Arabidopsis thaliana: one gene and its partners. The protein of the gene in region 1 interacts with the protein of each later gene in a pairwise test. Each region holds a gene or a part of one and is shown in the gene's direction. Other genes may lie near its edges. The genes, in order: BZIP9, BZIP53, bZIP1 and bZIP2.

Region 1 (8,057 bases):
ATGCAGATTCTTTAATGAATTTGATTACATATAACCCTTTAGAAGAGAAGAGATTTGATATGTATAATTCATGTAAGGTAGTTCATAGATGACGATATTTTCACGTTTGACATATTCATCGTGACAAGAGGGTTGCTTGGGTTTGAGGTGTTGGAAACGGTGGTCGAATTAATGGACATGGTGATTAAAGGTTTAGGATAAAGATGGATATGATACCACATTAGTCTATTAATTACCATGTAGAAGGTTGAAATATTGAATGATTTATTGTAATTGCTTAAAACACGAAAACGTACATCATTTTTTTTTTTTTACAATATAGGGAATAAACAGATTTACTCCAAATATAAACTGATACACAACAAGTCAACAACATGTATATCTATGTACACACCGATTACAATTCTGAATAATAGTTTTCGGAAGTTTTTGCTAATATAGGAATTTCGGAAGTGTTTTGGTAATTAATGCATTATGGGGAAATATGTATATTAATTGATATATATTGGAAAATTAAGGTATACTTAAATTTTATGTGAAAACCAAGATTATTATTATTTTTTCATCGTTCTCTTTATATATAATATATATTGCGACAAAAGAAATTATTAAAGTTGAAGAGGTTGAACAAAATAAAGAGAGGAGAAAGAGAGCGCAAATGGAGTGGAAGAAATGGTACTTAGACGCGATTCTTGTGCCCTTAGCTCTTATGATGATGATTTGTTACCACATCTACTTGTCCTTCATGGTCCGAACCAATCCCTTCTCCACCCTCCTCGGCATTAACTCTCACGGCCGCCGGATTTGGATTTCTGCTATGATCAAGGTTTTTCATAATCATCGCCATTGCATTCTTCTTATCAAAAACGTTACAGTTTTATAACAATATGATGGTATAATTTAGTCGTTATTGTCATATTTCTTAGAGATTTGATATGAGGATTAATAAGTTTAGATGGTAGAGTTGATTAGTCTTGGTTGGTCCGAAATCTTCTCATAAAAGAAAACCTATAAGCTATATTTATAATTGGAGAAATATGCAGATTGGTTATTGTTTGTTGTTTAATTTTTCAGGACAATCAGAAGACGAACATATTGGCGGTACAAACACTGCGTAACATAGTAATGGGAGCTACACTGATGGCCACGACCTGCGTGCTTCTCTGCGCGGGTCTAGCCGCAGTGTTAAGCAGCACTTACAGCATCAAGAAGCCTCTAAACGACGCCGTTTTTGGTGCTCATGGAGATTTCGCCATATCCATCAAATACCTAACAATTCTCACAATTTTCATCTTCTCCTTTTTCTTCCACTCCCTCTCCATCCGTTTCCTAAACCAAGTCGCCATTCTCGTAAACATCCCTAACTTAGACCCTAATCCTTCTGGTTGCGTCTTCCTCACGTCTGAGCACGTCAGCGAGATGTTCGAAAAGGGTATCTTTCTTAACACGGTAGGTAACAGGTTGTTCTACGCAGGCTTTTCTCTAATGTTATGGATCTTTGGTCCCATCCTCGTGTTCTTTAGCGTTTTGGTGATGGTTCTTGTTCTTTCTCACCTCGATTTCGTGTCACGCAACAACAATAAAGAAAAACTACGTATAGTGGATATACGTCGTTCCTCTGATTTTACGAATGGTGGTGAAGACTAGGAATCTAGGACGCAAGATGACTTTTTTGGTTAAAGGATGATGCTTATTGATAGTACATGACGATGATATCATAACCTCCGGATTGTTAATAAATGCACTTGGAGATTTTCTCTTGTTATGACTTATGGCCTTGCTTTTATGAACTTTTATTATTTGTGATCTTTAACCTCTAGCTTCAATCTCGTTCACGTCATACATGATCTTTTACTGGAATAATATTTTAAATCTGTAACCAGAAAGATTCTAAATATAATTACTACACTAAATATTATAGTATCAAAAATAATTTTTAAAAAAAAAAAACAAATAAAGATTCAATTGGTCCCTCAAAACTGAAACTAAAGATTCTAGTGTTTTTTATTTGGTCACATAAACTTTGATAAAATTCATTTGGTCACGAGAATTCTTGTTTTTGTCATGAATTTTAAATGAGAATTTTTGTTTGTTCTATAATACTTTTATCTACCCATGACCAAAAAATATACTAACACAGTTATATGATTTGAAAAGTAATTTCTGAAAACTAAATCACCCCAACTACTCTAGTGATCACTAGACATAGAACAACGTCTTTTTTTTGTTTCTCTTTTCCTTTGTTTATAATTCCTTTCATCTTCTTTTCTTTTTCTTTGCAAAACCTCGTTTGGAGATTACAAGTAGAGTTTGTAGAAACAGAAAAATTACTTCTTCTTTTTTTGCTAAAAGAAAACAAAAATTACTTTTGTGTTCATAAACTAATTTTCATTCATATTTTCTGTATTTTAACTTACAAATTTAGCATGTGCCTCAAGTAGAAATTCGTTTCTTACAAAAAACGTATATCAATCATCATCTAAATTACATGAAAATTTTCAACATCACTAAGGATTGAATTTTAATTGTACTAGTTACTATGGTTACTGAATTGTACTGTAGTCGGTAGATTGTAAACATTGTAGTCCACTATAGGTTCGAAAGTTCTAGTTAGTGAGAAATAATAATTTTAAAATGCTTTTGGATTCTATTTTCGGATCTAAACAACTTTTGTTTGTTTAAAGACACATTACCTAGTTTGTTTCTTTTTATTGTTTTGTTGTGAAATATTTTAACTTTTTAAAGGAAGTGCAGATCAAAAGAAAGAAAAGTTGGTTTACGCATACAAAAGTTGATGAAATAAAAAGTATTTCTGGTGCTGGAGGAAAGAAATGTCTTTTAGATCTGCTTTCCAAAAGCATATGGCGAAAAGTAAGAGTAAACAAAGGACGAAGCATTTTGTGTTGTTCGTGTGACCGGAAAATTCTTAAGTTTTTCTTTTTGGTGTTGTAGTAGTAATGAATGATAATAAATATTTTAAAGATTTTTACTACATGATACAAAGGTGTAAAAAACTGAAACAATATTATCAATATTTTTCCTTCAAATATTATCAATTATTTATGAAGATTAGTTTTTAGTGTTTTATGAAATTATATATTCGGTAAAACATTTACCGTAAAAGGTTAATTTATTCATTTTCAATGTTTTTGTAGTTTCATCATTGGACTATGCCCCTTGTATATTAATCTTAAATTAGTCGTTAAGTACTTCAAATTCGAATTCAAACAGGTTATGTAGTAGAGTAATTTATGTAAGTGTAAGGTTCTTGACATGTGCCAAGAATACAAATGTACATGAGTGACAATATTATTATCTAAATATTTTCAAATATTTAAAAGCTTATTTCGAAATATTTTAGGATCCTTTTATGAATATAAGCTGCTTATATATATGCCTATAACATTCATTTTCAAATCAAAAGCTCCAACATATTAATGAGCTGACAAACAACTTAATGTTTGAATTCAGATATGATTTATATTGAAAGAGTCTCCAGCTATCTTAGATAGTCTCCCTAGTTAAGGGATTAAAGGTTATCATTAGCATATAATTGGTACCATAATATTCACCAATACTACAGAGCCTAATATACATCTCTGTGGCTTTGCTTTTCTATTCTCTTTTGTTATTGTTGTCATTAAAGAAAAAAAAAGTTGGAAATGAGGACGTTGCATTGACAATGCAAATTCAATTTTGCTTAGCCATTAAGAAGCTTTTTCACAACTTTAGTAAAGAAGAGAGACTTATATAAAGAAGATGTCTATCACCACTTACTCTTCCCCTCTCCTCTCTTTTCCAACCAATTCTCTTCTTTCTTGTGTGTTCACATTCAAAGAAAATGGATAATCACACAGCTAAAGACATTGGTATGAAGAGAAGTGCTTCTGAGCTGGCTCTACAAGAGTATCTCACTACAAGCCCTCTAGACCCTTGTTTCGACCTCATGAACCGGGTTAGTCCTTTTGTTGTCTCTCTTATTCGTATCATTGTTGCTTGTGTCTATATCAAGATCCAGAGATATTGTAGTAATTAAGAGTCTAGTTTCTTTTGGTTGTAGGATTACACTTGTGAGTTAAGAGATAGTCTTTTGTGGTCTGAGGGATTGTTTCCGGCTGGACCTTTTCGCGATGCACAGTCCTCAATCTGCGGTATGTGCATGTCTCTTTGATTTGACTCCATGTAAGTAATAAGTGTTGTTGCAGTTGATATTAATGTTCACTACTTGTGTGGCTCTTATCTACAAAGAGAATCTGTCAGCTGATAGTCCAGTGTCAGCCAATAAACCTGAGGTAAGAGGAGGAGTTAGGAGAACCACAAGTGGATCTTCTCATGTTAACTCTGATGACGAAGATGCCGAGACAGAAGCAGGGCAATCTGAAATGACTAATGATCCCAATGATCTGAAACGTATTAGAAGGTATGTTAGGTACCAATAAAAAAGTTAGATGTAAAACACTGAGATAGAGAATCACCAATTCTTCTTAATCTTTTTCTGTGATGTGAATTCAGGATGAACTCAAACAGGGAATCAGCAAAGAGGTCGAGGAGAAGGAAGCAAGAGTACTTGGTAGATCTTGAGACTCAGGTAAGGTTAACAAATAGCTTGTTGGATGATTTGTATCAGAGAGTAATGTTTTAATGGTGACCTTGTGTTTTCTTCAAGGTTGATTCTTTGAAAGGCGATAACTCAACACTGTACAAGCAGCTCATAGACGCAACACAACAGTTTCGTAGCGCTGGAACAAATAACAGAGTTCTCAAATCAGATGTTGAAACTCTGAGAGTCAAGGTATCATCTATCACTTGCTCTTTTCAATTTGGGAAAGTAATAACCGGAATGTGCTAAGTTAAGTAAATTCTATATAGGTGAAACTAGCAGAAGATTTGGTAGCGAGAGGGTCACTCACTAGCAGCTTGAATCAACTTCTACAAACTCATCTAAGTCCACCATCACACTCCATCAGCAGTCTGCACTACACGGGAAATACCTCGCCCGCCATTACAGTCCACAGTGACCAATCTTTGTTCCCTGGAATGACACTTTCTGGACAGAACTCAAGCCCTGGACTTGGTAATGTATCCAGTGAAGCTGTTAGCTGCGTCTCAGACATCTGGCCATGACTCTCTTTCTTCAGAACATGTAATGATCACTCAGCGAATTTCCTGTATGTGTTTCGCTATAGAACTAGAAACATATAATGAAAGCAGCATGTTCGTTAAATAAACTCAAGTTTCGTCAACATATACTTAATTGCTCCAAATCCTGCAGATTGTAATCTGGAAACTGAAGCATGTATAGGCCAATAAATTACATTCTCCAAGGAAATTGCTTAAATGTGTTCGCTTAAGTAAGTATACAGACAAACAAACAAAAACACTGATCCATTACACTTTACTTTCCAGCAATTTCTATTAGCTATTTAAGGCGACAGCTATGCATGTTGTAACATGAGCAGACAAAACTTACGTCGAAAACCAACCTCAGTTGATTAGAGGCGTACCCATCTGCGAATCTGCACCTATATCAGTTGCGAAGTCCTTAGGCAATGGGATATTTAATTCCGAGCAAACAAGCTTCACAATATTAGCCGTTACACCTCCCATAGACATCTTGTTCAGTGTTACTGCAATGGAAAATCTGTTGTTGATGTCACAGAAGCCTGTTGATCCTCCTAACCCTGAATGTCCAAAGCCAACCAGAGACCCATCTTGAGAAATGGCGCGCTTAAAACCAAGCCCAAACTTTCCATCAGGCACTACTAAGCCACTGTAGTCTCCAGCACCCATGAAAGCATCATGGATCCTCGGGTTGCTAAACATATTATGAATATCATGTTGATGATCATCGCTATTGATCTCAGTTTTGCCAGCAGAACTGTTAGTATCAACTAGCCTGGCTAAACTTTCTGTATTTGACTCTCTGCTGCTACTAGCACTCATAAACTGTTTCTCATCATAAAGCTTCCTCTCTTGATGATCTTTTGATTTACCCTTTTCTGTAGCTGCCATCTCCTTACCCTTTTTCTTTTTTGTTGTGTCTTTCAACGACGTGAATTTCGGAACATGGGTGTGGCTACCTAGTGGTGGCTGGGATAAAGAGGAATGTGGAGGTGGCACTAGGCCACCATCTGCTAGGGTTGCATAGTACCTTGCAAGTGCACGAGCAGAGCAATGTCCATTAGCCGCAGGGATTATGGCTCTGCGCACATTCAATGTGTTAAATAAGACTGGCAAGTTGGTTGCCATTTGTATGATCTTGTCAGGCTGAAATGTGGAAGGAAGCTCAGGTTGGCTGGCAATGGACGAAAGCTTGCTCATTTCATCAGTGTCGAACGTCAATGTGGCAAGCCTAGATTCAACACCTATAATTAAGATGTTAGATAATTATTAATAACGCTCATAGCGTAATTTACTAATTCACAATGTCTGTGACTGTTACTATTTACCTGGGGGGATTCCAATGTACAGTTCTCCATCAATATTTAGGGGTTTAACAATGGACTCTTCAAGGATCTCCTGGAGTTTCTTTCCAGAAGCATACTGTTCAAGATTGATGAAAGCAAGATTGGCATTAACGTAGTAGAGGTAAGAGAAAAAATTACAACTTGACGACTTGCATAGTTTTTATGCTTAAACAATGAATGATATAATTAGTTTACCTCGAGGATTCCACCACATAGCCATCCAAACGTGAGATAGTGATAGGACTGCTGACTGCCAGGCTCTGTTTCAGGTGATGAATTAGCAATCCGTTTCAAACATTCATCCCAGTCACAAATAAGCAGAGGATTTTCTCCTACAGGGTCAAAGGAATTTTGCATCCCAGATGTATGGTTAAGCACATGATGGACCTGAAATACAAAACCGAGGTATTAAAATGAAGGGCAATAGATTGCGAAATGGTTAAGTGACAGTGTAGCTCCTTATACCTTTATGGTATCTTTTCCATTTGATCCGAACCCTGGCCACATATTTGCCACAGTCTGGTCGAGCTGGAGTTTCCTGTATCATTGAATAAATATTACTAAATATGACTAAGCATGTGTTCTGCAAATGGGATCATGGAATTAACAATGAGACCAATATGTAAGATTGGAGCCGATTCAAAATATCAGGGTGTGTGAAATGAATACATGAAATTTTTTGAAAGCTTAAAATGTTGTTACTCACCTTTTGTCAACAAGCCAATGTATCATTCCAGCAGTGACACCCTTTGTCACAGAGAAAACAGGAAATAAACTATCGGGTTGAACTGGACGAGGGTCATATCTTCCAAGCACTCCAGCAGCAGTGTCAATTATGACTTTCCCATCTTTATATGCACACACCTAAACGAACATGGCCATGTTAAACCAAATGTAAAATGAAACGAAAGCTGACTGCAAGCCAAACAATAAAAAAAGTGTTGCCCACCTGAATTCCAAGTATTTTCTGGATACTCCCAAGTTCAGCGAGCAGCTTCCTCACTTTGGACTCTACATCAGAATGGATTGGCGAGTCATGTATCCAATGAGCATCCACAGTTGGTCCTCGACTAATACTCCTGAAAACCCACATTATGGTCGTACGGGATATATCACAAAGAGATAATAAAATGAGCTGCCAAATTCCAAGGGTGCTTACCCTAACAGAACAGATTCGGCAAATGGTCTCATGATGTCCAGATAAACAATCCGAACATTCATAGTAGATGAAAGTCCTAAATAGTCGACAAAATAAATAAGTAAAGAAAAAGTAAAGTACTATGATTGAGCAAATCCTTTGACATAATGAGGTAAAGTAGTATGATTCATAAATTATACCTCTGAGTAAATTAATGACCCTCGCAAAAATAACAATATCACCAGGAAATGCATCTATCTGCATCAAATGTTTTCATTGAGATATAAATGGTCACCTGAGAAGGCTATATTTGAAAGAAATTTGTGCTTACCGGATTGAAGCGTTTAACTTCTTTCTGGTTGAGCTGCATCTTCTCCTGTATAACTTTCATATTTTGCACTCTTTGATCGTTCAGGGTTTTAAACGTTTTCTAGTAAAGAGAGGAATCTGTA
Region 2 (7,995 bases), on another chromosome or scaffold:
GCCCTACTTCCAGCGCTCAAGACTCTCTCTCTTTATCACGTTAGGTTCTACGAGTTTGGTCGTTGTGCGTTCAAAACGCTTCTTGCTTCGTCTCCCGTGCTCGAGGAACTAACCGTGTGTGGTGTCAACTGGGAACTTTGGAAATGGTCCCGCACTGTTTCTAGTTCTAGCCTTAAGAGACTTACTATAATGCGTAAACAGTGGGATGCTTTTGATGATTCTGATTTTAAGAGCATTAGTTTTGATACTCCTAGTCTTGCCTACTTATATTACTCTGATTATGTTCCTAAAGAGTATCTAAGTGTTAATCTCGACTCCCTTGTTGAGACTAAGCTCTATCTTTGTCCGGAAGAAAATTATATGTGGGGTAAAGGAGATGAAAAACGATTTAATCCAATAAATCTGCTTCATGGGCTAAAAAATGTCGAGACTCTTAACTTGTACACTATCATGACTGCAGAGGTAAGTTTACTCTATTGTTTTCACTCGATCTTTAAATTTTTACAACTACTTTTTAAAAAATGTTTTACATTTTGGAACATTAGGTGACGTATAAGAATCAAAATCTTGCTAGGTAGTTCTTATGTTTCTAATACTGTAGTTGGTTGGTTTTCTTATATATATGTTTCAGATGTTTTATGTCTTCCGTGAAGCACTCCCAGTGTTTCAAAAGCTGTCTCATTTATCCGTTAATCTCTCTAACTTCTGTTGGTCTTCTATGCCAATGCTGATCAAGAAAGCTCCAAATCTAAAGACTCTCAACATCGACGTATGTATATTGCAAACACAAAAGTTCATTAGATACTCATATAGAACCTTGAATCTCAAGTCTTCTGCGTCTTGTTTCAGGGTCCCTTGCACTACGAGAGTTACTATCGTTGTGCAGGCGATATTTTTTGCGAGTGCGTGTCAGAGTATTCTTTCCTAGTTTCATGTCCTCTGGAAGTCCTAAAGATAACTGAGTACTATGGTAGCTTTAGAGAATTGATGCAAATGAAACATTTCTTGGAGAAATTGTCATGTCTCGAGCTAGTGGAAGTTCATTCTCAAGCAACTGGTGAAAGAAAGCTGAAACTCATAGCAGATCTGGAAAGGCTACCCAGAGCTTCGTCCAAGTGCAAATTCGAGGTCGTTTCCTAGATTTACTTATTAAGTATCTTCATTGATTCAACAAAATTAGGTACAAACCTTTGTTGACATATAAGAACGTTTGTCGTTTTTTTTTTTTTTTTCCAATCTATTTTCAAACAAACAGCTTCGCATTTTCTCATATTCAACTATAGGAATTACACGTCCAATTTAGATTGAACCTTCAAAATCGTTGAAATAATAATTTATTTTATTCTGAATTAAATAGAATAATCTGAAAAATCGACTGAAAATATATGTAATTTTAATTTGGTAGTTTTGTTATGCTTATACCAAATAATTCAAAAATCTAAACAATTCAACCCCACACTAAACCGAAATTTGGAGTGGCGGACTACAGGTGGCGCAAAATGATTGGCTCAAAAACGAAAAGGTTTTGTTTTTGTATCCGAGTATATAAAAAATGAGCAAAATTAATAGATAATAAAAATTCAAATTTCTTTCCTCTGCTCTCAAGAAAATGCTACGGCTCCGCTCTACTTCTTCGTCCATTTCTCATTGAAGATTCAATTTCGCTTCAGAAATCTCTCAAATTGATCGGATTGAGTGTCTCGTCTACCCCAATTTCTGCAAATTACGCTTCGGTTTTCTTGGTTCTGCATAAACGCGATTGCGATGATTTCTAGGTTTCTGCTTCATGCCTACATGTGAAGTAAGCTCGTCTTAGCCTTTGAAATTGATCTAGTTTGGGAATTTTGGTTGATGTTGAAGTCAAGTCACTGAAGGTTCCATTAGAAATTGAGGTTTTTCTGGGTAGTGAAAAGAGGGTTCTTTAGGGTTTGAGAAAAGAATGGATAGAATCAGTAATTTACCAGATGGTGTTATCTATCGCGTGATCTCCTTACTTTCGACAAAAGAAGCTACTTGCTTGAAGTATACCTCCAAGAACTGGCTGAATCTGGTTACCATCATACCGATTGCTGTTTTCGTTGATTCCTCGGCGTCTGCCATTAGTGCAAGTTTCAAAGATTTCGCTGATCGAATAATGTTAGCTCGACTTGCCAGTCACCGTATTAGGAGATTCTCTCTAAAGTTGCAGTCTTTGAATTTTGCTCAGTATAAAACTGTCAATGATTGTTTACGCAATGTGTTGGAGTGTGGAGTCTTGGATCTTGAACTGGACATCAATGTCAGAGGAGATTACTCACTGCCTTCTGAGATCTTCACTTGCAAGAGCGTTGTGAAAATGAAACTAGGGTCTGGTTTTGTTATTGACATTCTCCCTAAGAATGCTTGGCTTCCTGCTCTTAAGACTCTCCTTCTTGATACAGTTCGGTTCGAATTCGATAACACTGCTGGTTGTTCGTTTACAAAGCTTATTTCTGCTTGCCCTGTGCTCGAGGAGTTAGTCATAGATGGCCACAACTGTGAAGATTGGAAATGGTCTCGCAGAGTATCTAGTCAGATCCTTAAGCGACTTACTATTCGGCGTAAAGAATGGGTTCATGATGGCTCTAGTTTTGAGCCTATCAGTTTGGATATTCCTAGTCTTGAATACTTTAAATACTTTGATACTCTCCGAGATAGCTATCCAGTTGTTAAGCTCAACTCCCTTGTGGAAGCTAAGCTAGAACTTCCTTCTCTTTATATTGGGGATACCTACAATGTTAGGAATCTGATCAAGGGGTTGAAAAATGTTCAGATTCTGCGCTTAGGAGCTGTTGACACGATGCACGTAAGTGCTCTCCACTGAGATATTAAAATAAAAAATCTTTCTATACATTAGAATGTTTATTGAAGTTATGACTGACTAGTTTTTTTTTTTTTTTCAATTCTGTTCCAGCTGTTTTGGGTCTTCAGGGAAGCAGTCCCAGTGTTTGAGAACCTGTTTCATTTATCAGTTAGTACTCATGACGCTATCTGTTGGGATGATCTGCGTATTCTTCTTGAAAAATCTCCAAATCTAAAGACTCTCACCATTGAGGTGACCAAAAACCCCAAAAGTTCATTGGACAAACAAAAGAATTGAAACTCACAAAATCTTCAATCTCAAAATTCCGGTCTTTTTGCAGGCTTTGCATTATCATGGCTATGGGGATGAAAACTCTGTTTGCGAATGCTTGGATGGGTATTCTTTCCTTTTGTCCTGCCCTATTGAGATCCTAAAGATAACTGAGTTCGGTGGAGAGATTGAAGAAATGGAGCAAGTAGAGTATGTCTTGGAGAATTTGCTGTGTCTGGTGCTGTTGGAAATTCATGTTAAGACAAAGAAGATTGACAGAAAGCTGCAGATCTTGGCGGATCTCCTAATGCTTCCGAGAGCTTCATCCAAATGCAAAGTCCAGGTCAAGTTTGTTTGAACAAACAAGTGTTTGTTGCCTCAACATGAGAACTGTTGGAGAAATGGTGCAAATAAAGCACATGTTAGAGAAATTGCCAAGTCTTGAGCTTTTGGAAGTTCAGCTTAAGCCAATAATAAGAGCTGACACAAAGATTCAGATCATGTTGGATCTCCTAATGCTACCGAGAAATTCATCTAAATGCAAACTTCGTATCAAGCCCTCTTGAACAAAATCTTAACATATCCCATTTATTGACATGAGAGAACTGAGTTTGTTTTTGTATCACACTCTTAAATCTTTGCATAAGCTCAGAATCTAGTTTGTGAAGATTGTGAGAGAAGTAATCTTAAAAAGATCAAACTTTTGTTGACATAAGCTTGGCGTTTTTCTTATCTCTAACTGGATTTTTCGAGTGTGTAAGGGAGAGCTAAGCCCATCAGCTGAATTAAGGCTATTATAAAGCCCACGAGCCAACTTCCCAACTCAGTCTTGTGTTTTGTAATTTAAAATCGTGTCAATAAAATGATGTAATCGTCACGTCATCATTTAAGTTTTAACCAAAGAGAGCCGCATATAAACAACAATCTGGTAGACTTTCGTTATAGTTAATGGTCGTTTTATAATTACGCTTATGAATTGTGTGTTAGACGTTGCTTTCGTGAGGAAATTTTCAAATTCAGAAATATATAATATTCAGTTAATTAACACTTGGCAATAATATTTGATATTTTCTGAGGAGGCATCTTGGTGGAATATTCCATCCGTGAACAGACGGAGAAACTTCCCTCAACAAAACGTGCTTCCCTTATAAAATTCCAGCTGGCGGCGTCACAGCTGGCGTCAGTTTCCCCCAGTTGCGTTTTAAAAAAAAACAAAATAAAAAGATTTATGACCAAAAGTTAATTATCTTCCTTTATTAAAATATTGTAAAAATAAAGAAAAAGGCTTAGGACAGCTCATCACCATCTTCTCCTTTAAAAGGATAAGCTTGGTGTTACTTTATCGCCTTCTTTCGTTTGGCCTTTGATCCTATCATAAGCTTTTTTTCGTTTATCAATCTTCTCGATTCAGCCACAATTCTTGTTTCTCAGATAATTCATCTCCTTTCTTTGATTCGTTTCCTTCTCTTCTGTCACTCAGATCTAGATCTAGATCTAGGTTTTTTTCTTTCTCATCGGAAATTTGGCTTAGAGGCTTGTTTTGATCTAGGGTTTGGTTTTTGGGAATTTTGAAAAAAAAACAAAATTAGGAATGAATCTATGAGCTACTCAATCCTGTTTCGTCGGATTCGAATTCTACACTCTTTCTCCGTCGTTTACCTCTACTACACCTACGTTTTCTCATGAAGTAATCGTTCTCGATCTCAGTTTTCGTTTTTGATCTAACTTATTCTTTGATAGATTTAGAAATCGGGGATTTTCAGATTGTGTTTTTGAGAGGTTTTTATAGGAAAATATCTCTAGAAGAAGAAGAATAATATTATATTGATTTTAATTTTGGTGAGAAGAAGTCAAAAAGTCAACGAGAAATGGGGTCGTTGCAAATGCAAACAAGTCCTGAATCCGATAATGATCCGAGGTACGCCACGGTGACGGATGAGAGGAAGAGGAAGAGAATGATCTCTAACAGAGAATCTGCTCGGAGGTCAAGGATGAGGAAACAGAAGCAACTTGGTGATTTGATCAACGAAGTCACTCTTCTCAAGAATGATAACGCTAAAATCACTGAGCAGGTTGATGAAGCTTCAAAGAAATACATTGAAATGGAGTCTAAGAACAATGTCTTGAGGGCACAGGCTTCGGAGTTGACGGATAGGTTGAGATCATTGAACTCTGTGCTTGAGATGGTTGAAGAAATTAGTGGTCAGGCTTTGGATATTCCTGAGATTCCTGAATCTATGCAGAACCCTTGGCAGATGCCTTGTCCAATGCAACCAATCAGAGCTTCTGCTGATATGTTTGATTGCTGAAGATGGATGATTCATATCTGAAGGATCAAAAATGAAGCATTGAGTTCGAGTCTTTGGTCTGTTTTACTTACTGTCCTTGTTGTAACAATTAGTGTGTCATTGGTGAATTGAGTCTTGTGTTGTCAATGGACAACGCAATCTTTATGCAATTTCAATTTGTTCGTGTCTTTGTATGGTTTTGTAGCCTCAGTCCTCTAGTCTTGTGTCTCATGTAATTGGTGTCTAATGTGTTTCTTATTGAATTCAAGCTTTCTTATTATTCGCTGCGCATTACCTGTTATGAAATTTTGGCTTTTGTATTCGTTTATGGAACTACAAATTACAAATGTTTTTAGAGCTAATTCAGATTCAAAGACATGATTTATATAACCTGACATTACCAAATGGACCGGAACAAAGATTTGTCGTATACGTATGAATCCGGAACAGGATCTTGATCGCTTCAGTTGTCGTAAGTACGGCACTCGTTGGTCTCAGGATTGTCTTTGCAGTATTCCTCCAAAGGGTCCGAACCATCAGCCTTCTTCTTGTCTCTAGCATGGCTAGCTGCTGCGCTAAGTTCTTCAACCTCGTCCCACGCAGCTACACACTCTCCACTCACAGGATCGCCCGCACAAGTCTCCTGAGCTTCCTTAATGCTTTTCTCCACTACGTCCGATATCCCTCCTTCCGGTGCTGCTTTAATCGGCTGAAGTTTCATCATCCGGTTAGTTGTTCTTGACCCAAGATTCCACGAATTGTTCAAATGGACCGGACCGGCGAGACAAACTGGCCGATTCTCGCTGGTGACGAAGACACGCTGGGTTGCAATGTTAAGACCAGTAGCTATAGTTGCCATCTTTGGATGGAGAAGGTACACGGCAGCCTGTGAATATAGTTTTTGATAAAAGAAGATAGTTCAGATAATTGGGAGGGAACAAGATATATGAAGTGTGCGTGAATTTAATTCTGTGAACCCCATTTCTTATCCTCTATTAACCAACAATTAAGTTCCACGTATTTGATATCGTTTATGAAGCAGTACGATGTTGAAAATTTGCAGCCATCCAAGCCGTTTTCTAAGATACAAGTGCCTGTTGCGTATTTTATCCAAAAAAGATGAGAAAAAATAAGCTGGTAAGTATAATAAAATGATCACACACTGTTTAAGGAAAAGTCAAGACAGATGTCTCAAGTTTCAACCACTGTATCTCCGGAAAACAATGTGTTAACAAATATCCAATTTTGATGTCTGAGTGGTTGTTTATTTCTCAAGCAACCAACTTTCTTAGGTAACTTATCTGAGATCTCAAGAAACCATAAAAACAGAAAAATCGAGCCAACAACATTGAGAGTGAGAGAGAGGCATTCCCATTCACTCTTCAGAGGCGACAACACCGATCTCACCTCTCTCAAGCAAATCATAGAAAGTTCTAGTTTTCCTCTGCTCATTCCAATGGTGCATCTTCCAGAGACCACCAGCAGCTAAACCAAGCGTCAAACCAATAATCAATTCCTTGACAACACTCGGGCCTTTCAATGTGGCATGCGCAACCTTGTGTCCTGCCATTTCTTCTCAACCTAGCACACATTTTAATCATAGAGTCAATACTAACATAATTGATACTTTCACAATGCTCACGATTCCTAAAGCTGAAAACTTTATTGACAACCAATAAAACATCTATACACACACACACACTAATCTACCTGATCTCTTAATTTCTACTGGTTTGCACTTGGAGTCTATATATACACATAAACATGTACAATTTCGATCCATTTTCTGTCTAACCTCTTAACTACGTCTCTATTCAAAGGAAGATATCAAAGGCTTTGAATTTATTCCCAAAATGATACAAGAACCCTAATCCACAGGATCCAGATACTGAAAATAAAATTGGCATTTCTCCCGAAGAAAAGGATTAACGTTTCAAAGCATCACAACACTAAGAGCATCAAATCTAAATCAACGGAAGATTTAAACGAGAAATTCCGATCTTAAGCACACCGATCTACACGGGAAAAAAAACGAGAAATGGATTCGAATCTGATAAAAATTAATCGTAACTTCACAATCCGCCACCTATCTATAACGAAAATCACCACAAAATCATAAAGGAAACAACAATTATCATCAAGGGAAGAATATGGACTTTACCGAGTCAGATTGTGTAGATGAACGAGACAGAAGCTCACGACGAAAACGAAATGGTGGGTGATTGAAGAAGTTGCGTAAGCAGATAATCACTTCTCTACTCCATTTGTGTCTTATTGGGCCTTAAACATGGGCCTGATCTCTTATTTCTTCAATGGGCATTTTATGGAATTTGCTTTTTAAAAAAGTAAACCATTCGCTGCTCGTGTTCCCCGAGTGTGTCCCACCACGTTAATAATGCCAAATCCAATCTGTCAACACACTAAACTAATTTCCTAATCCTGAACTTTTTTAAATAATCATTATCTTTCCCTCTGTTCCGTTAATTATTGTAAAATTCATGAGCTCACGAGTTTGTAAGAACGTCATTATCATTTCTTCACCGAATCTCTCCTCTATACCCCACTAATTCAACCACCTTTGTCGACTCCAAAATTTCAATCCTTTTCTCAAACAGT
Region 3 (7,967 bases), about 12 Mb from region 1:
GCGTTTTGCTGATTTCATTCAATGGGTCACGTGCCATGGCCCATTATCATCAGATAGTTTTTGTTTTGTATTTGTTTCTTGATGCTTCAAACCAACAAAGTGGCTGTAGTTTAGTGGTAAGAATTCCACGTTGTGGCCGTGGAGACCTGGGCTCGAATCCCAGCAGCCACATTTTTTTTCTATTTATTCTTTTATCAAAAAGAGGCTTGGACTTATAGATTAGAATTCTACTAAGCCCATGGTTTTTGCCATCTAACTAATGGGCCGACATTTAATAAACAAAATCTAACCAACCAAAAACCAACCAGTTGCACTGAAATAAGAGTTCAAACCAACCTTGAAAGTAAATTTACAAGAGACATATATGGGTTGTTTAAAAACCAAAGTCAGAAAGAGTTTCATACTACCTTTTATTGTCTAAAAGAGTTTCATACTACCTAATTACATATATTTCAAAATAAACTAGATGATGTCCCAATGTCACATACACATTCAAATTGATTTTATAAAAAAAATTAATAGATTTAAATAAATTTTATCTTATGTACATTATGTTGAACACATAATAATCATATCGCGTCTTTACTTTTATCCAAAAAATTATATCGCGTATCATCATGCTTTAAATATGATATTATTAAAAATAAAAGATTATATTACCTAATTGAATATAAATCGATAAAATTTATACCATGTAAAGTAATGAACAAAAATTATATAAAATGATATATTGAGAAAATAAGGATTTATGTAGTGAACTTTATGTTGAGCTATATTTTTTTGGGGGGGGGGGGGAATTTGAGCTATATATTTGAATTGGTATTCTATGTAGTGAAATGATAAATTCTTACCATTTTTGACTGGTATCCTGCAAAATAAAAGATTATGGAACTTTCAAATTTTTATCAATATTTTACTCTGTTTAATTAGTACTTTGAAAAGTAACAAAATGTAAATTGATTTCTGCATTTTTAATCTCATAGCTTGTAATGTTATTAAAATAACAAGATAAAATATAAGAAAAAAAAATTATAAAACTTGTACACTCCAATAACATATAAAATATTTTAAATAAGTCAAAATTTAATCGATTTGTTGTTACGCGTTGCAACTTTATTACATATTTTAGAAAATTTGTCACGTGTCGGACTCTAAATAGACTCTTTCAACTATATAATAAAATACTTTGCCTAACTAAATATGAGCGATGATGTTATCTTCTATCCATCTATAGACATGAACGTTGTCGTTTGCATCCCAATTATGTAGAGTGGCTTTGTAATAATAAACTAAGAAGAGTTTGAGATGGAGAGATTTACGCAATGTTCTCTATTCTTTGTAACATGATCTCTCTCTTTTAAAGTTAGTAGAGAAAGAATTAACACAGACTTAACTCTTTTCTCTTTTTTTCGAAAAAAAAAAAATTAACACCAGAAAAGAAAATAATTTGGAGTATGTATTTCTATATGGCATATATACTACATATTGCTAAGTTTTATTAGTTTGGAAAAAAAAGATCCAACATTATTAATTAACAAAAATATGATAAATAACAATTAAAGAAAATGTAACTACAAAAGCTTGTAATCATAAATCATCCACGTAGATACGTCATATGTAAGCGTTAAGCAAACTTTTTTTTTTTTTGGTAAAAAGTTAAATTTTATACCATTTTAAGATTTTTGACAGAAGTTACAGAAAATACAAGAACGGATTAAAGCACACTACAGAAAATTAAAAACAACATTACTACTCAAAAAACTTCGGATTGCAGCTGAGTAATTATGACTAAGTTGCGAAGGGAAACACCGATTTCAAGTCCGCGAAACTTGGAAATTTGCGTGATTGCCACAATACCGAAGTATTGGAATCCTCATCGTTGTTGCCACGAGCTCAACTATCTGAGATCCGTCCACAAACCTCGAGATAGGTGCCTACAGATTCTCAAAGAACTAACGCAAAAACGTAAAGACAACCGCGGACTTCTACACTAACTCGTTGAGTTAGTGATGCCACTTAGACCTATCCGCCGCCTCTATTCAACCCTCGGTGAACATAGCCATAACACCCAAAGGCTCACCTTCACCAAATGAACCAACACCGACAACACCATGAACAACAAAACTCCACCTGAAAGCAAACCAGAGATGAAGCAAAAGGGACGAAACCCAATGGACACAGAGAATCCATACCCATGGCCGAAGAGGCTACCACCCTCAACTGCCCACCAATGGAGGAGAGACGTCGACCACCAAACAAAACCCACAACGCCACTAACCACCACGAACAATCCACAAGAGCCAAACGACTCCTTGGATTGCCTCCACAAGAGAAGCCCGTCGGATCAATCACACCATCACCAGAGCTGGAGAAAAAACAGGTAGAGAGACCCGAGAAGAGAAGATCTGCCACACCGAAAACTCACCGTTGTGCCCAAATCAAAGAAGAACGACGATGTCTGAAGAAACATGGCGATGCACCACCAATTTATCAGATCTGGAAGATGGTCCCGTCGATAGGAGCCGCACAACCGCTACAGTCGTCTCATCAAAGCCACTGCCTTAAACGGAGAGAGACACGCCGCACGTCCTTTGCTCCGTGCGTGACCACTCGCCGCATACCACCAACAAGAGACGAAGAGCAAGCCAGATTTGAACACCACCGGAGCTTCAAAGGAGAGGCAGAGGAGATAAGAGAGAGGAAAGGAGAAGAGGGAGAAGCCCTCTCCGGCCACCGGTGAGAAGCACCGTGACCGGAGAGGCACAGATCTAGATTTGGTTTTGGTTTACTGTAGCGTCGTTCTCGCTTAATCAATCGCCGCGCGTGATCTTCTTTAAATACTTGAGTGTATATATGTTCCGCGTTAAGCAAACTTCTCACTCTGTTTATCAGATGTCATCCATAGAAATTGTCTAACAAATTGGATGATGTAATCATCATCATCATCATCATCATGAATCGTGATAACTACGAGAATATACTAATTGTCGGATCAGCAATTATCTATATTGAACCCATTAAAAGATTATAAATGTCTGTATACAAAGAAGTCGAAGACGATAAATCATATATATATATTCTGTACACATAGGTATTTGCTATAACGTTAGAAGGATTATAAAATTCTATATTTGAAACACTTGATTGACTTTCTAGAGCACACACAAAACTACTGTTAAAACAAAGAAAACAAAAATAAGAATGCAAACTTTCTTAATACGATAAACAGGAGCAAATGTTTTTATTTGTTAAACTTGATTTAGTTCACGTTCTTAGATAAATGTGTTAGAATTTGAGAAGTTTTATTTCTGTTTTGTACTTGTCTTCTTAAAATTAGATATAGGGTTCAAAAAAAAAACTTGCATGTTTATTCTATCATTTAGTTTATACACATACATTTTAAACTATAAATTAGGATTCTAATATGACAACAACACTTTTAAAACAAACCACTAAGTTTCAACCACAATTTGGAACTAATAATTAAAAAAATAATTAAGAAAGTTGATAGAGAAATATCAATGGCAAAAAAAAGAGAAACTACAACACTCCCTAAAACCCAAAACATTAAATTTCAATATATCATGTATATGATTACAAATTTAACAAATTTCATAAAAAAAACAAAGAAATATGTAACCAGTAGTTTAAACAATAATGGTGGTAATAGTCAATTGGTTAAACCTATTTAACTCCACATTTTCTACTGGAGTTTGACTTTATTAAATCACGTTATTTGGATAATAGTTAGGGATTATCTATAGATCAGATCTTATTAATGAAAATATGTCAAACAAAAATAATAATAAATTTGTTATCTAAATAAAACTTTTAATATACTTTACCACGTTATAAACACTTAAAATAAAATAACAATTAACAGCAATTTACATGTAGATTTCTGCATTAGTTTTTTCATTTTTTTCTAGTTTGTTCAAAACCTCAAATATCAAGATTGACTCAGACCCGAACAAAAGGTCCGTAGAACCTAAACAAATTTCTAAAACTAGCCAACCAATGAAGTGCATCTACTTTTTTTTTATGAAAAATAATTATATTGAAGTATTTTATTTATCTGATAAATAAATAATGATATATAGTTTATCGGTGAGCAGATAAGGATCGTGTATTTTCAAGTATTATATTAATTAATAAATTATCGCCCATCTTCTATTGTTTTGTATTTTCATTTGAAAAGAAAGCAGGGCTGGCTTATCAATATATACAGTCTCTTTCTTTTAGTTTACTAAAATCATTTCAGATAAGACCCACACAAAAGTAATATCAAATGGAATTTTGCTTTCAACATGGATAATTTTCTTTAATAATAAAATTGTCAACCATGTTAAGCGTAATCTCTAAATCCCCAAAATTAAAAACACTAAAAATAGTCGGTCATTGCTCCACGTTTAACCTGTCCAATTCCAAAAGAACTTCGTGTTTCATTGACGATATAGTTTACGTACGTATGATTCTTTCTAAATGAGGTATTTTTGTCCCATTAGCAATTTAAAATTTAAAATGGTTGTGTAACTTTTTGAAATGCTTAGTAGTTAAAACCGAACTAAGAAGAAATAATGATCGGAACGTGTTTATGTCAGCTAATGCATTACCCACTGACATTAACTGATCCAGTTTACTGATTTTAGACAATCATACTCTATTTTTACTGGAGTTGCAGAAAAAGGGACTTACAAAACGATGAATTAAATTTGGACAAGTATATATACATAATTAGAAGGTTATAGAATCTAGTTTTCGTAGGATATTTCTTGAATTATCCTACGAGTGTGACAACTAAATGCACAACAAAACAACAATTTAAATGCTAAAAAGCAAAAATAGTAATTACTGGTCACCTATTAAGGAACAACACCAACACCTATTTAGCTGTTATGTCCTAATAAAAATAAAATAAAATAAAAACAATAAACCAAAAAAGTAAAAAATAAAAATGTTTGACTAAAATTCTCTTTCTTTTCCGATTCGTCATTCGATGAATCTTCCTTTCTTATACAATTTGGATAATCTTTTCTAATGTAAAAATTCGAGATTTTTTTTTATAATGTTAAATCTATAAATAAGAGCAACCTAAAACGAACAACTTCTCCCACTTTCCTTATTTTCGATCTTATCCTTATCTTCTTCCTTGTTCTATTTCTCTTCTAACTAATCTCTTCTCTTCTCTTAAAATCAAACGTAATCATAAATAAAGATCTTCTTGTTTAATTTCTCTTGATCCTCGCAAAATCACAGATTCTTGAAATTCTTTTTTCTTGTCTTGAAATTCTTGAGTTCTTGAGTTATGAAAAGACAATGGACAGAGTTATGAAATGATAAATCTCAACCAATTCCTTGTTTATCATTCTATATCAGTTGTGATTCTTCATTGGTTTTACGTTATCTCTTGAACAAAAAAACATGGCAAACGCAGAGAAGACAAGTTCAGGTTCCGACATAGATGAGAAGAAAAGAAAACGCAAGTTATCAAACCGCGAATCTGCAAGGAGGTCGCGTTTGAAGAAACAGAAGTTAATGGAAGACACGATTCATGAGATCTCCAGTCTTGAACGACGAATCAAAGAGAACAGTGAGAGATGTCGAGCTGTAAAACAGAGGCTTGACTCGGTCGAAACGGAGAACGCGGGTCTTAGATCGGAGAAGATTTGGCTCTCGAGTTACGTTAGCGATTTAGAGAATATGATTGCTACGACGAGTTTAACGCTGACGCAGAGTGGTGGTGGCGATTGTGTCGACGATCAGAACGCAAACGCGGGAATAGCGGTTGGAGATTGTAGACGTACACCGTGGAAATTGAGTTGTGGTTCTCTACAACCAATGGCGTCCTTTAAGACATGAGATTTGTGTATTAGTGTGTGTTTTACTTTGGTCATTTTATAGTTTTTGTAATCTTTTTATATCGAATTGTTTCTTCTCATTACTTTCTGAATTCTGATACAATTGCATATCTTATTGTTTTCAACATTTTCATTTAACGTTATATGATTTTCGGTGGTTAACCCGAAAGAAAAAAAAAAAGTTTTTTTGGTACCTTGCATGTAAATGGCAGAACTGATGAAGTAATCAAAATTGAAGCAAAAAGTGGGGAAGTAGTATATGTTCTGGTCATAATTGAGTATTACCGATAAAAATTGCTTTGGTAACACGATAACAATTTTTTGTGTCAAATTTTTCAATTTTATGAATAATTCAAAATAATATAGGGCTTGAATGGTATGTGTCTTATTTGCATGTTCATGTGTTTCAAAACGTGATTTTGCCGAGTGTATACCATTCACAATAATAACCACGGAGTGATAAACCGTGAAAATTAATAAGCTATTTTCCAATCTATTTCGCATGTGTTAAATGTATAACTAACTAGTTTAGACAAAGTCATTTATTAAGTAGCTTTTTGGCGTGTTAAGTTTATTCCGTTTTGAATTTTGTCGTCCTGGTGATTCCGCTATTGTATTGTTCAGTTATTCAACTAATGTACCAGTCAAGTCTTTACCCCTTAGTTTAGAGTTTTCTCGTTTTGATGGGTTTGATTGGTATGTGAGATGGATAGCTGAACAATAGAATAACTAAATAATGGTTAGCTGAATGAAATGAACTAAAGAAAGTTTATGTAGAATGATTATAAATTGCTAAAAAAAACTAGTTATTGTAGATTAATCACGTTTCTTAGTTATAATTTTTAATACGCTAGTGCTATATAATGGAATCATTTTTTTAAACATGAAAACGTTAAAACTTGATAAAATTTTGAAAGGTAAAAATAGCGGAATCACGTTTTAAAAACGTGACCACGTGAACTGGTATACGGTAAACCATTCAAGCCCATAGATTAATGAAAATGTGATAATTATAAGATTTTTCTATCTTTTTCAACATGGAGTATTCTAAACGCGTAGGAGTTTAATTGATTTTAAGTGATTTATTTGTCTATAAATGTTATATATATATTCGATGTATAGAACAATAGATGAACTATCATAAACCATAAAATTCAATGATTTCAAATATGATCGAGGTGATTTTTTAGCTCTAGTGATATGTCTATCAATTTCAAGAAAAATCGCCTCCTTAAACTGAAACAATTCGTAGAGCATATCCGTTCTTTGTAGGAGTATGAAATATGCAACCACAAGTCCACAGCAATGGTCAGGAATGAAATATGCGACCACAAGTCCACAGCAATGGTCAGGAAACCTCACAACGGCATAAGTTTATCTTCCCGATAATTCTTTTCGCTCAGAAAATAGACCATATGACAAGTCACAAAACAAAAAGTCCGTAAGACATAGTCTTAGTATGATAACGTTCTAGATCAAGCAAGAGAAAGTGACATAAGTATGCATATATTCGTGTAGAGCTCATCTATATATGCACAATAAATCTTTATCACTTTACTTCAATATATACGAACATAAGTTTTATTGCACAATTGATTAACCACTTTCACTTCCATAAGAAAGTATAAGCCAAAAAAAGAGTCCTCCTCTCTTTCTATCATTCTCTCCAAGTATTCATTAGTCATGTTTCTTTACATTTATTTATGTTTGTGATTAGGAAGAAATTATAACACGTTCTAACTTTTAAAATACTTCAAAAACACATTAAACAATGTTTTGATGAATGCGTGATTCACAATCTTCAAAAAATATTGCTGAATCTTGAAGACAAAACAGCCTATTCATTAACACCACCAGCAAGGACGACATGTTAACGACCAAAATTGCAATAAAATAAAACAAAAGATGTTACAAAAACAAATTTGTAATAAAAAAAAACTGTTAGGTGTTTCTCTTTGTCAATGTAAGATAGAGAAATCAATTTTGGGTAGAAAGAAGTTGTGAACTAACTACCTACCAATAAGCCACATGACTGTGAGAAGCTTTTGTTTCCCTCCCATTTCTCTATATTAATGGTGCTTCCTCTCTAAACCATTCCTCTCTCTTTCT
Region 4 (8,205 bases), on another chromosome or scaffold:
GAAGTAATTATTAATGTGCCGAAAATGCTGACTTATAAGTCATTTATAAATTAATCAACTCAATAATCATAGACAAGTGACCTCATTGATATGCCCATTACATGTTTAAACTTTTACAAAGAGGTTCAATGAATATAAAACAAATCGTTGTTTGGGAATATTCCTCATCAATTACATCATTGAGATATTTATATATTAATACCTCACATTAAAGTGAGATTAAATTCTATTTGACATCTCATTTTTTACCAATTTTAAATTAATTAAGAAATTAATTTTCTTAAAAAAGGAATGGTCCAATTTAAGGTCTGACCTATGGGCTGTGGTTGCATGCAGTGACTTTACTTTTTTAATTTTATTTTAACAGTTACTTTTTTCCTCATATTTCCACTATTCGCTTCTCTTTCTCAAAGTTGGAAGCTAACAATTTGTGACTCATTACGCAGCCCATTTTTTGTAGACTTTTTATAAAACCTTGTCTAATACTATTATACAAGAGTCAAGACTAATTTTTGTGAATAAATATATTGACTCTCAGGTAAAATTAGGTATGTATTCTGTTGTAAGCGTTTTAAATGTTCAATCACTTAAAACGATAAAAATCTAGGAGAAATTTTCTCTTTTTATTTTTGGTATTCAAGTATTTTCTTCTGAAGTTATCGCATCCGTGAACAGTACTAGAAATCTACATTATAATGTTGCTTAATGCCTATATATTACTATTAACATGACCATACATGCAGATTTTAATTATATCTAATTTGCAAAGTGGATATGCTAGTGGTACTTTCACAAATCTTAACAAAGAATTGAACCATTCGAACATTAAACAAAATGTTTTAAAGGAGTGTTATGCCATATTTTGATGGCCCCTTCCGACCTAACTTTGCATTGTCTTAACTTTATTATCATGAAAACCTAGTTAGTATATTTTTCCATTGTTAAAACTTGATACGTAAACCGGGACGTCATTCATTAAAGCAAAACACTTAAAACTTGAATATATAACAATAATACAATTTCTGACAAAGAAAGATTCCCCGAATACATGGTGGAGAATTAAATTGTGGGAAATATTTTAAAACCGTACTTTTCTTTAAATACCAGAAAATATTTACAAAGCCTTTTTTAAAGAAATTTTATTTAAAAAAGATTGTGATGGTTTTTTGGAAAATAAAAATTATATTCTATAATTTTCGTCTTAAATTAATAAATTTACTAATTTGTATATCTTTTTTTTATAATGTATTTTACATATCTTTCTAAATAAACTTATGTTTGAGTGATTTTACCTAACACTAATGGCCAATTAGAAATTAGTCGTCATTTCATCATCGATTAGGGACTGATTTTGATAGATTATCAATATTTTATACAATTAAAAAATGGCTATGAAGTTCCAGAAGAGATGAGCTATATGGACCCATGTGCTTATTGTCCCCTGCATCTGCTTAGAGGTTAAGTGTTAATCACCTTTATTTATATATGTTTAATACTTAATTATTTTTCTTTCGCCAATCTCATAATTAATTAGGTTTAAATTAAAACTGGAACTTTGACGTGTATTAAGAGCCGCTCATTGAGAACATGGATTGTGCAATGCACGTGGTTTCGTACGGTGCAGATCTACAAAAGAGATTCTGCGTCAAAGACGGTGTCGTGCACTGTTGTTGTCTAAATTTTGTAGGCGGTGAAATTATGAAAGTTGTCTACTAACGGTAACTAAATTAACTACCAACGGTAAATAAATTTTGTCTCAGGTGAAGGGAAATTATTAAATTTGTCTAGCCTTTTTACCCGCTATAAGTTACTATTCAGCGTGGGACGAAAAAAAAAAAAATTACTACTCAGCGTGGTGTGCCGACATAAAAATAATTACTCGTGTAAAAGAAAATAAAAACTATGAAATACTTGAAGTCGTACTATTAAATTATAATTTCCTTGGTTAATATCATCGCTGTATCAAAATTTAGATTTAAAATATGATCAATGATATAATTTAAAATATATATATAACGTATGATAAAACGATCAACTTACATTGTTAAGTGTTTCTAGAGCATTTTAAAAACATATTCTATAATTTCATATATAACATTTTGTTCATAAAACTTAGGTAAATTTGATCTCGAATCTTTAAAACAACCAAAATATTGTCCACAAAAATTCGGTGTAATATTGAAGGTTGTTGTTGTTCATGTTCTTGATTACTTTTCAATTCTCTACATTTTTACATATTGTTTCATTTAGAAAAGGAGTTGGTTGAATTGTGGTTTATCACTTAATTTTTATTATTTATATGTAATTTATTTTTAATATAAGGTTTTATTAATTAATTTGCCTGTAGTATTGTTTTAATGTATGTTTATAGTTATTCATCAAACAATTGTGATCAATATAAAGATTATCCGACCGTTAGACTCGTCACAGGAAATTTTTCTGAAGTTGAATTTCAAAAGCTCAAACAATTAAAACGCGTAATGATAAGTGTTGTAAAATGTTATAGAATTAAATTTAAAATTGTAAACAAAAAGATATACAAATAAAGAAATGATGTTGATGATGATAGTGCTTTATTTTCTTATATTTTTTGTGTGTCTTTACCAATAAGAAAAGAATAATCCATTTTTATAGATATGAAAATTTAGTAAATCAATTGAAATTATTACAAATGATGTAGTGTAGTTATTTTGAAAATGGAGTAAACATTATCTGTAGAATATGAATTAATGATACGTGTTACATGTATTAGACATTCATTGGATTTGTAACAATTTATAAATAATTAGAAACATACTTCAGATTTATCTCTTATAACTATATTATAACTTTTTCTAACAATTTGTGACAGTTTTCGTTTCATTTTAGTTCTTACCTTCAGTAAGATCAGCTTTTATTTTGTGTTAAACAAATTCAACAACTCGTACAAACACTTTATGAGACTTTTCAATAATTAAGACGAACAACAATGATCTAGTACACACAAATTAGATACTAACATTTTTAGTTCGAAATCATTTACTAAATTCAAAATTTTGATATCAATCACATGGCTCGAAATTACTGTATTAGATTGAAATATCAGAGCACATATCAATCCCACAAATCCTCATGAATTTACTTAATCCACATACTTTAAATTTTATTTTTAAATATTCTATATTTTCTTAAAATGTTGGCTGAAATAATGTTTTACAAAATTTTATTTCGTTGGAAAATTATTAAATTTATCACCTTCCTATTTGATATCACTTTTAATTCACCAATTGTATGTATCAAAATATTCAAAGCCATTGACTGAATTAATGGCAACAAAAATTATCAAAGATTTTCTGTAATTCCTACATTGACTACATGCAATTTTCAAGACATTGACTATTTTCAATAGTTTTCACTCTTTTTAATCTTGATATCTGGTCAACTTTTACCACCTACCTATTTGTCTATCCTACTACATATCATTAATCACACCATTAAACCACACAAATCTATACTTACCATTAATATTTTTCTTTTGAATACCAAAAAAACAATCAAAAAGTAAAGTGTCATTACCAAAAAAATAAAAAAGCAACATCCACCTACTGACCTACATATTTTTTTTAATAAAATTATAATGAATCATTTTGTTAGTAAAAAATAAAAATGATAAAACAATGGGCGCGTAAACGATTCCAGCTTTCCCCACCATCCATTATTTCCCAAAAAATCAAAATAAATTAAAAAGACACAAGTGGATGCTTGAGATTTGGTTTCTATATAATCCATAACACACCCTTCATCAAAAACCTCTTTCCCATTCACTCATCTTCTCTTCCTTATCTCCTTAAAAATCTTCTGCTGTTTTCTTTTTTATATTTAGAGCTCCTCTGTTTCTTCTCCAATAACCAAAAAAAAAAAAAAACTCTTCCTCTGTTTGTTTTCAAGTTCTGACATCATAAATTCAGACCGAGAAAACATAAAAATTTGAGTCTTTTGATGATCGGAAACTGATGACTCCCGTTCTCTGCGAAATCCTGCTCTCTGGGCTCACGGTCAAATCTGCTCTCTGCCGTAGAACCCATCTCGTTCAATCTTTCTCCGTCGTCTTCCTCTACTGGTTTTACAACGTTTCATGAATTGCTACAAACTCTAATTAATTTTTTCAGACAGATCATAAAAAAAAACCAAACATAAAACATAAAACTCTGTCCTTTTTTTGTCTTCTTGTAACTTTTCTTGTTAAAAATCAATGGCGTCATCTAGCAGCACATACCGGAGCTCAAGCTCTTCCGACGGTGGTAATAATAACCCGTCGGACTCCGTCGTCACCGTCGACGAACGAAAACGTAAAAGAATGTTATCGAACAGAGAATCTGCACGTAGGTCAAGGATGCGTAAACAGAAACACGTTGATGATCTAACGGCTCAGATCAATCAGCTATCAAACGACAACCGTCAGATCTTGAACAGCCTCACCGTAACATCTCAGCTTTACATGAAGATCCAAGCCGAGAACTCTGTTCTCACCGCTCAGATGGAGGAGCTTAGCACCAGACTCCAATCTCTCAACGAGATCGTTGATCTTGTTCAATCCAACGGTGCAGGATTTGGTGTTGACCAGATCGACGGCTGTGGTTTTGATGATCGTACGGTTGGGATCGACGGATATTACGATGATATGAATATGATGAGTAATGTTAATCATTGGGGTGGTTCGGTTTACACTAACCAACCCATTATGGCTAATGATATCAATATGTATTGATTAATAAAATTAATTAAAATAATTAGATGCCCCTTTTTTGTCTTTTTATTTTAAAATTTAGCCCATTTTGGTGTTTTTGGGTTGGTGTGATGATGTAATTATAGTACATGCATCTTTGATTGGTTGGAAGGATAAATATAAACTTTATATATATATTGGGGCATATATATATGAGTTGTACTTTGTCATGTATTGGTGTGTGTTTTGTTATAATTATATGATTATATATGTTTATGTTATCATGATTTTGTCTTTCACCTTAATATTCCAATTGTTTATTCGGATAATGGTTTGTTTATGCTTCGAGAAAAGCAACTTTTTGGATTGGTAATTTTTAAGAATGAAAAAAATCACATTTTGGATTGATGATTATATATATATATATATATAAGCTGCATTTACAATTAAGTTTTGGTTTTTCTGCAAATAACAATAAAAAGGAACTTCTAGATAACATGTCAAATCTACCAAGTCAAATTTCACCTGTAATATAATTCGTTGTCAGCAACGTAAGTGCTAAATAATGATCAATTATATAACAAATAGAGTTCCTTGCGACTAGGAGAAATTTATCATAATGTATGTGAAAAATAAAAGATCTTCAAACATATATATGATGCTTATATGTTTAGAGGGTTTTGTTGCAAGAACCCATCATTTTAATATAAGATTATGGTTTTTTTAGTTAAAACACAGATGAGCAAATCTTAGGTGTATGATAATTATTTAGAAATGTATTAAAACCTTCGTCAGTCAAACATTTTTGCTTAAAAGTATCATTCATACAAAAGGACATAAATTTAAAATTCAATGATTTTTCCTTTTTTTCAAATGTAATAACACCAGTGATAAAGTTTATTGTACGAACGCAAAACGTTCATATTAATGATGGTATCTTGAAGATTTATTTGTATTTATTACATATGTGGCCAAGAAAACATATAACGTCAATTTAGTTTTATTGCTTTTGCATTTATCTTTTCTAAGAATCTCTATGAATATATTGTATTATAGATATATATTGTGTATATTATATAATCTATATTTTTTTTTTTAATATTAGATGTTTCAGGGTCAGGGCATATGAACGTAATCTATTCTTTTTTTTAAGAAAGCAAACTTTTTCCAACACGAATTTAATCCGTGACTTCAAACATTTCCATATTTACGGTACACTTGTATTATTGTGAGTGAATATGGTTTATGTTTATCCTTTATCTTTTTGAATCTTATTATATATAAAAAGGTTGGTGTTGTGTCTTTACGATTTTAATCTTAACTTTATGTTATATGAAGACATATATGAAAACGATATATAAACACCAACAAAATAAAAATAATCATTATTGGATGTCCTATTCTCTTCTCGTATATGTGAAGCTTTACACTTGCTGAAAATTATTGGCTGTTTCTTCTGATTTGTTCAATATATATATATATATATATATATATATATATATATAAATGATCTCATCACAAACGATGGGCTATTATTTTTCGTATATGACATGAGACAATTATTAGGTATGCCTATATATGAATGAGCACTTTTGTTTGTTTGCCTGTGTTAAAGATCCAGAAGAGTGTACTGATGGGTACACATGTGATTCATAAGCATTTCGCATTTTTCACCTCAATACACATAAATAAAACACTTTTGTACGCCTTTTTGAAATAAGATAACTTTTATGGAACAAAACAAAATGTAATAAAGCAACAAACAAGGATTATGGATAAATGACACATACAGTGTTGTATCTTCGATAATATTAAGTTCTACACCATGCCGTGGATAGTCCATGATTTAATACCGTTTTGTCGATATATTAGGGATGACTTACACACGTAAAATCAAAGAGTGATATGTTAAGGATGAGCACATGTAACATTGAAGAGCCTATGAGTTTTATTAGAGAGCGTTCACAATGAATTTTAGTGTTTGAGCTAGTTATTGATTCATTCTAAAGATAATTAGTTTTTGAGGATGTTAAAGATGAACACATAAAATCGGAGCGACTATGAGCCTTGGAGAGCTCACTTAGGGTTGTATTGTTTGAGACAGAGTTATTTTTTGTCTAAATATACTAAGAATTTTTGTTGTTTCCATTTTGGTTCATCACTATCTAAGTCTATTTAGCCCATATTGTTCTAAGGAACAATAGACTTAGATAGTGATGAATCAAAATGGAAACAACAAAAATTAATGAAGTTTAGACAAAAAATAATGTATTAATATATTCATAATTATGCTTTATTCAGCCCATATTGTTCTAAGCTTAATGAAGTTTGGCCCACTTAGTTATTGTTTGTACACTTCTTATAGAGGCTGGCTCAAGTTATTTTTGGGCATTGTGCCCACTGCCCATTTAAAGAAAATTCTGAAAACTGTTCATAATATAAAATCATAGGAAACACTACAACTATAAATATGTACTTAACCCTAAGATACTTCTGATGAGAGCAATAACATTGTCGTTCAATTTTATATCAATCCTCACTCGATCATGGTATATCAGAGTTATAATTATCTAACAATCGGTTACATTCCTGTTTTTAAGCCATGTACTTCTACTTTTTATATTTGTTTTAACCCAATTGCTTCCAATATTCAAGTTCATCATAACCTCTGAATTAAGCCAAAGTACTTCCATAATTCAAGTCTATAATATACCTCGCAATCAACCCAAATTGCTTCTAAAATCAAGCTAAAATGTTTTTTTATGCAATAAAAAACAAATCTCATGTTTTCTTAAGCTGTATACATTTATTATGTCTTCAGAGCTTATATGCTTCTTTAAAGTTTTTGTTTATTAAAAAACAGATTTTCTTCAAAATATATTTGGTTTTAGTTTTATCTAAGAAATACAAGAAAAGAAAGAAAACAGCCTTCGGTTTGTTCTTCTCGACAGAAGATCAAGCATTCTCCATGGCTTCAACCATGCGCTCATGCAGCCTCTATTTTTCCCTTTTACTTCTTCATCATACGAAACATCTTGATTGAATTTAGTTCTAGTAAATAATGTTAAGTTTTTTTTTTCTTTTCTACTAAATAAAAACTCATGATGAGGCATAATCTATATACTTTGCAAGAAATGCTTTCATATTAGTGTTTTATTCATCCATAAAAAAACTATTTAAGTTGAAATAATAATAAATATTAGTATCATATAGGAGTATAACTTATATATCAGAGAACCATTTATTAAACTTGTCTTAATTATGTCCTTAAGATTGTACACATGACATGGCTCTGCAAAACATAACTCAGTTCAAGTATCCCTTGGGATGACATGCGTTTTCGGGGTTTTGTTTCTCGATCATTAATTAGTTTCTAGAAAGAGAGACGACGTCAAGAGTCAAAACCAAATGAAAGTAGGAACCACACACGCGTTGAAATGTTCATAGTTTTCTTCACCTTTGATATTCGCTTTTTACCTGCATATCCATGTTTTATGATA

The links.
Region 2: the proteins of BZIP9 (region 1) and BZIP53 interact in binary tests that used the Arabidopsis thaliana proteins (3 or more experiments, as listed by UniProt).
Region 3: the proteins of BZIP9 (region 1) and bZIP1 interact in binary tests that used the Arabidopsis thaliana proteins (3 or more experiments, as listed by UniProt).
Region 4: the proteins of BZIP9 (region 1) and bZIP2 interact in binary tests that used the Arabidopsis thaliana proteins (3 or more experiments, as listed by UniProt).

Annotation. Positions count from the first base shown.
Region 1 is NC_003076.8:8,511,418-8,519,474, forward strand, and holds BZIP9 (basic leucine zipper 9), read left to right. Parts: upstream 1-3,782; 5' UTR 3,783-3,841; coding exon 3,842-3,955; intron 3,956-4,060; coding exon 4,061-4,151; intron 4,152-4,248; coding exon 4,249-4,420; intron 4,421-4,512; coding exon 4,513-4,588; intron 4,589-4,666; coding exon 4,667-4,792; intron 4,793-4,869; coding exon 4,870-5,124; 3' UTR 5,125-5,252; downstream 5,253-8,057. Other genes in the region: AT5G24790 (transmembrane protein, putative (Protein of unknown function, DUF599)), read left to right, coding at 659-826, 1,075-1,647; AT5G24810 (ABC1 family protein), read right to left, coding at 5,485-6,365, 6,450-6,543, 6,663-6,854, 6,933-7,005, 7,174-7,331, 7,417-7,546, 7,627-7,702, 7,806-7,863 and 1 more. UniProt on the Arabidopsis thaliana protein: Transcription factor.
Region 2 is NC_003074.8:23,089,249-23,097,243, reverse strand, and holds BZIP53 (basic region/leucine zipper motif 53), read left to right. Parts: upstream 1-4,393; 5' UTR 4,394-4,959; coding exon 4,960-5,400; 3' UTR 5,401-5,658; downstream 5,659-7,995. Other genes in the region: SAF1 (F-box/RNI-like superfamily protein), read left to right, coding at 1-462, 632-769, 850-1,140; AT3G62430 (Protein with RNI-like/FBD-like domain), read left to right, coding at 1,940-2,824, 2,933-3,073, 3,162-3,449; CP12-2 (CP12 domain-containing protein 2), read right to left, coding at 5,843-6,238; AT3G62400 (cytochrome C oxidase subunit), read right to left, coding at 6,571-6,831.
Region 3 is NC_003076.8:20,046,724-20,054,690, forward strand, and holds bZIP1 (basic leucine-zipper 1), read left to right. Parts: upstream 1-5,105; 5' UTR 5,106-5,421; coding exon 5,422-5,859; 3' UTR 5,860-6,012; downstream 6,013-7,967. Other genes in the region: AT5G49440 (uncharacterized protein), read left to right, coding at 2,195-2,740. UniProt on the Arabidopsis thaliana protein: Transcription factor that binds to the C-box-like motif (5'-TGCTGACGTCA-3') and G-box-like motif (5'-CCACGTGGCC-3'), ABRE elements, of gene promoters involved in sugar signaling.
Region 4 is NC_003071.7:7,894,830-7,903,034, reverse strand, and holds bZIP2 (basic leucine-zipper 2), read left to right. Parts: upstream 1-3,792; 5' UTR 3,793-4,231; coding exon 4,232-4,747; 3' UTR 4,748-5,023; downstream 5,024-8,205. UniProt on the Arabidopsis thaliana protein: Transcription factor that binds to specific DNA sequences in target gene promoters. BZIP2-BZIP63-KIN10 complex binds to the ETFQO promoter to up-regulate its transcription.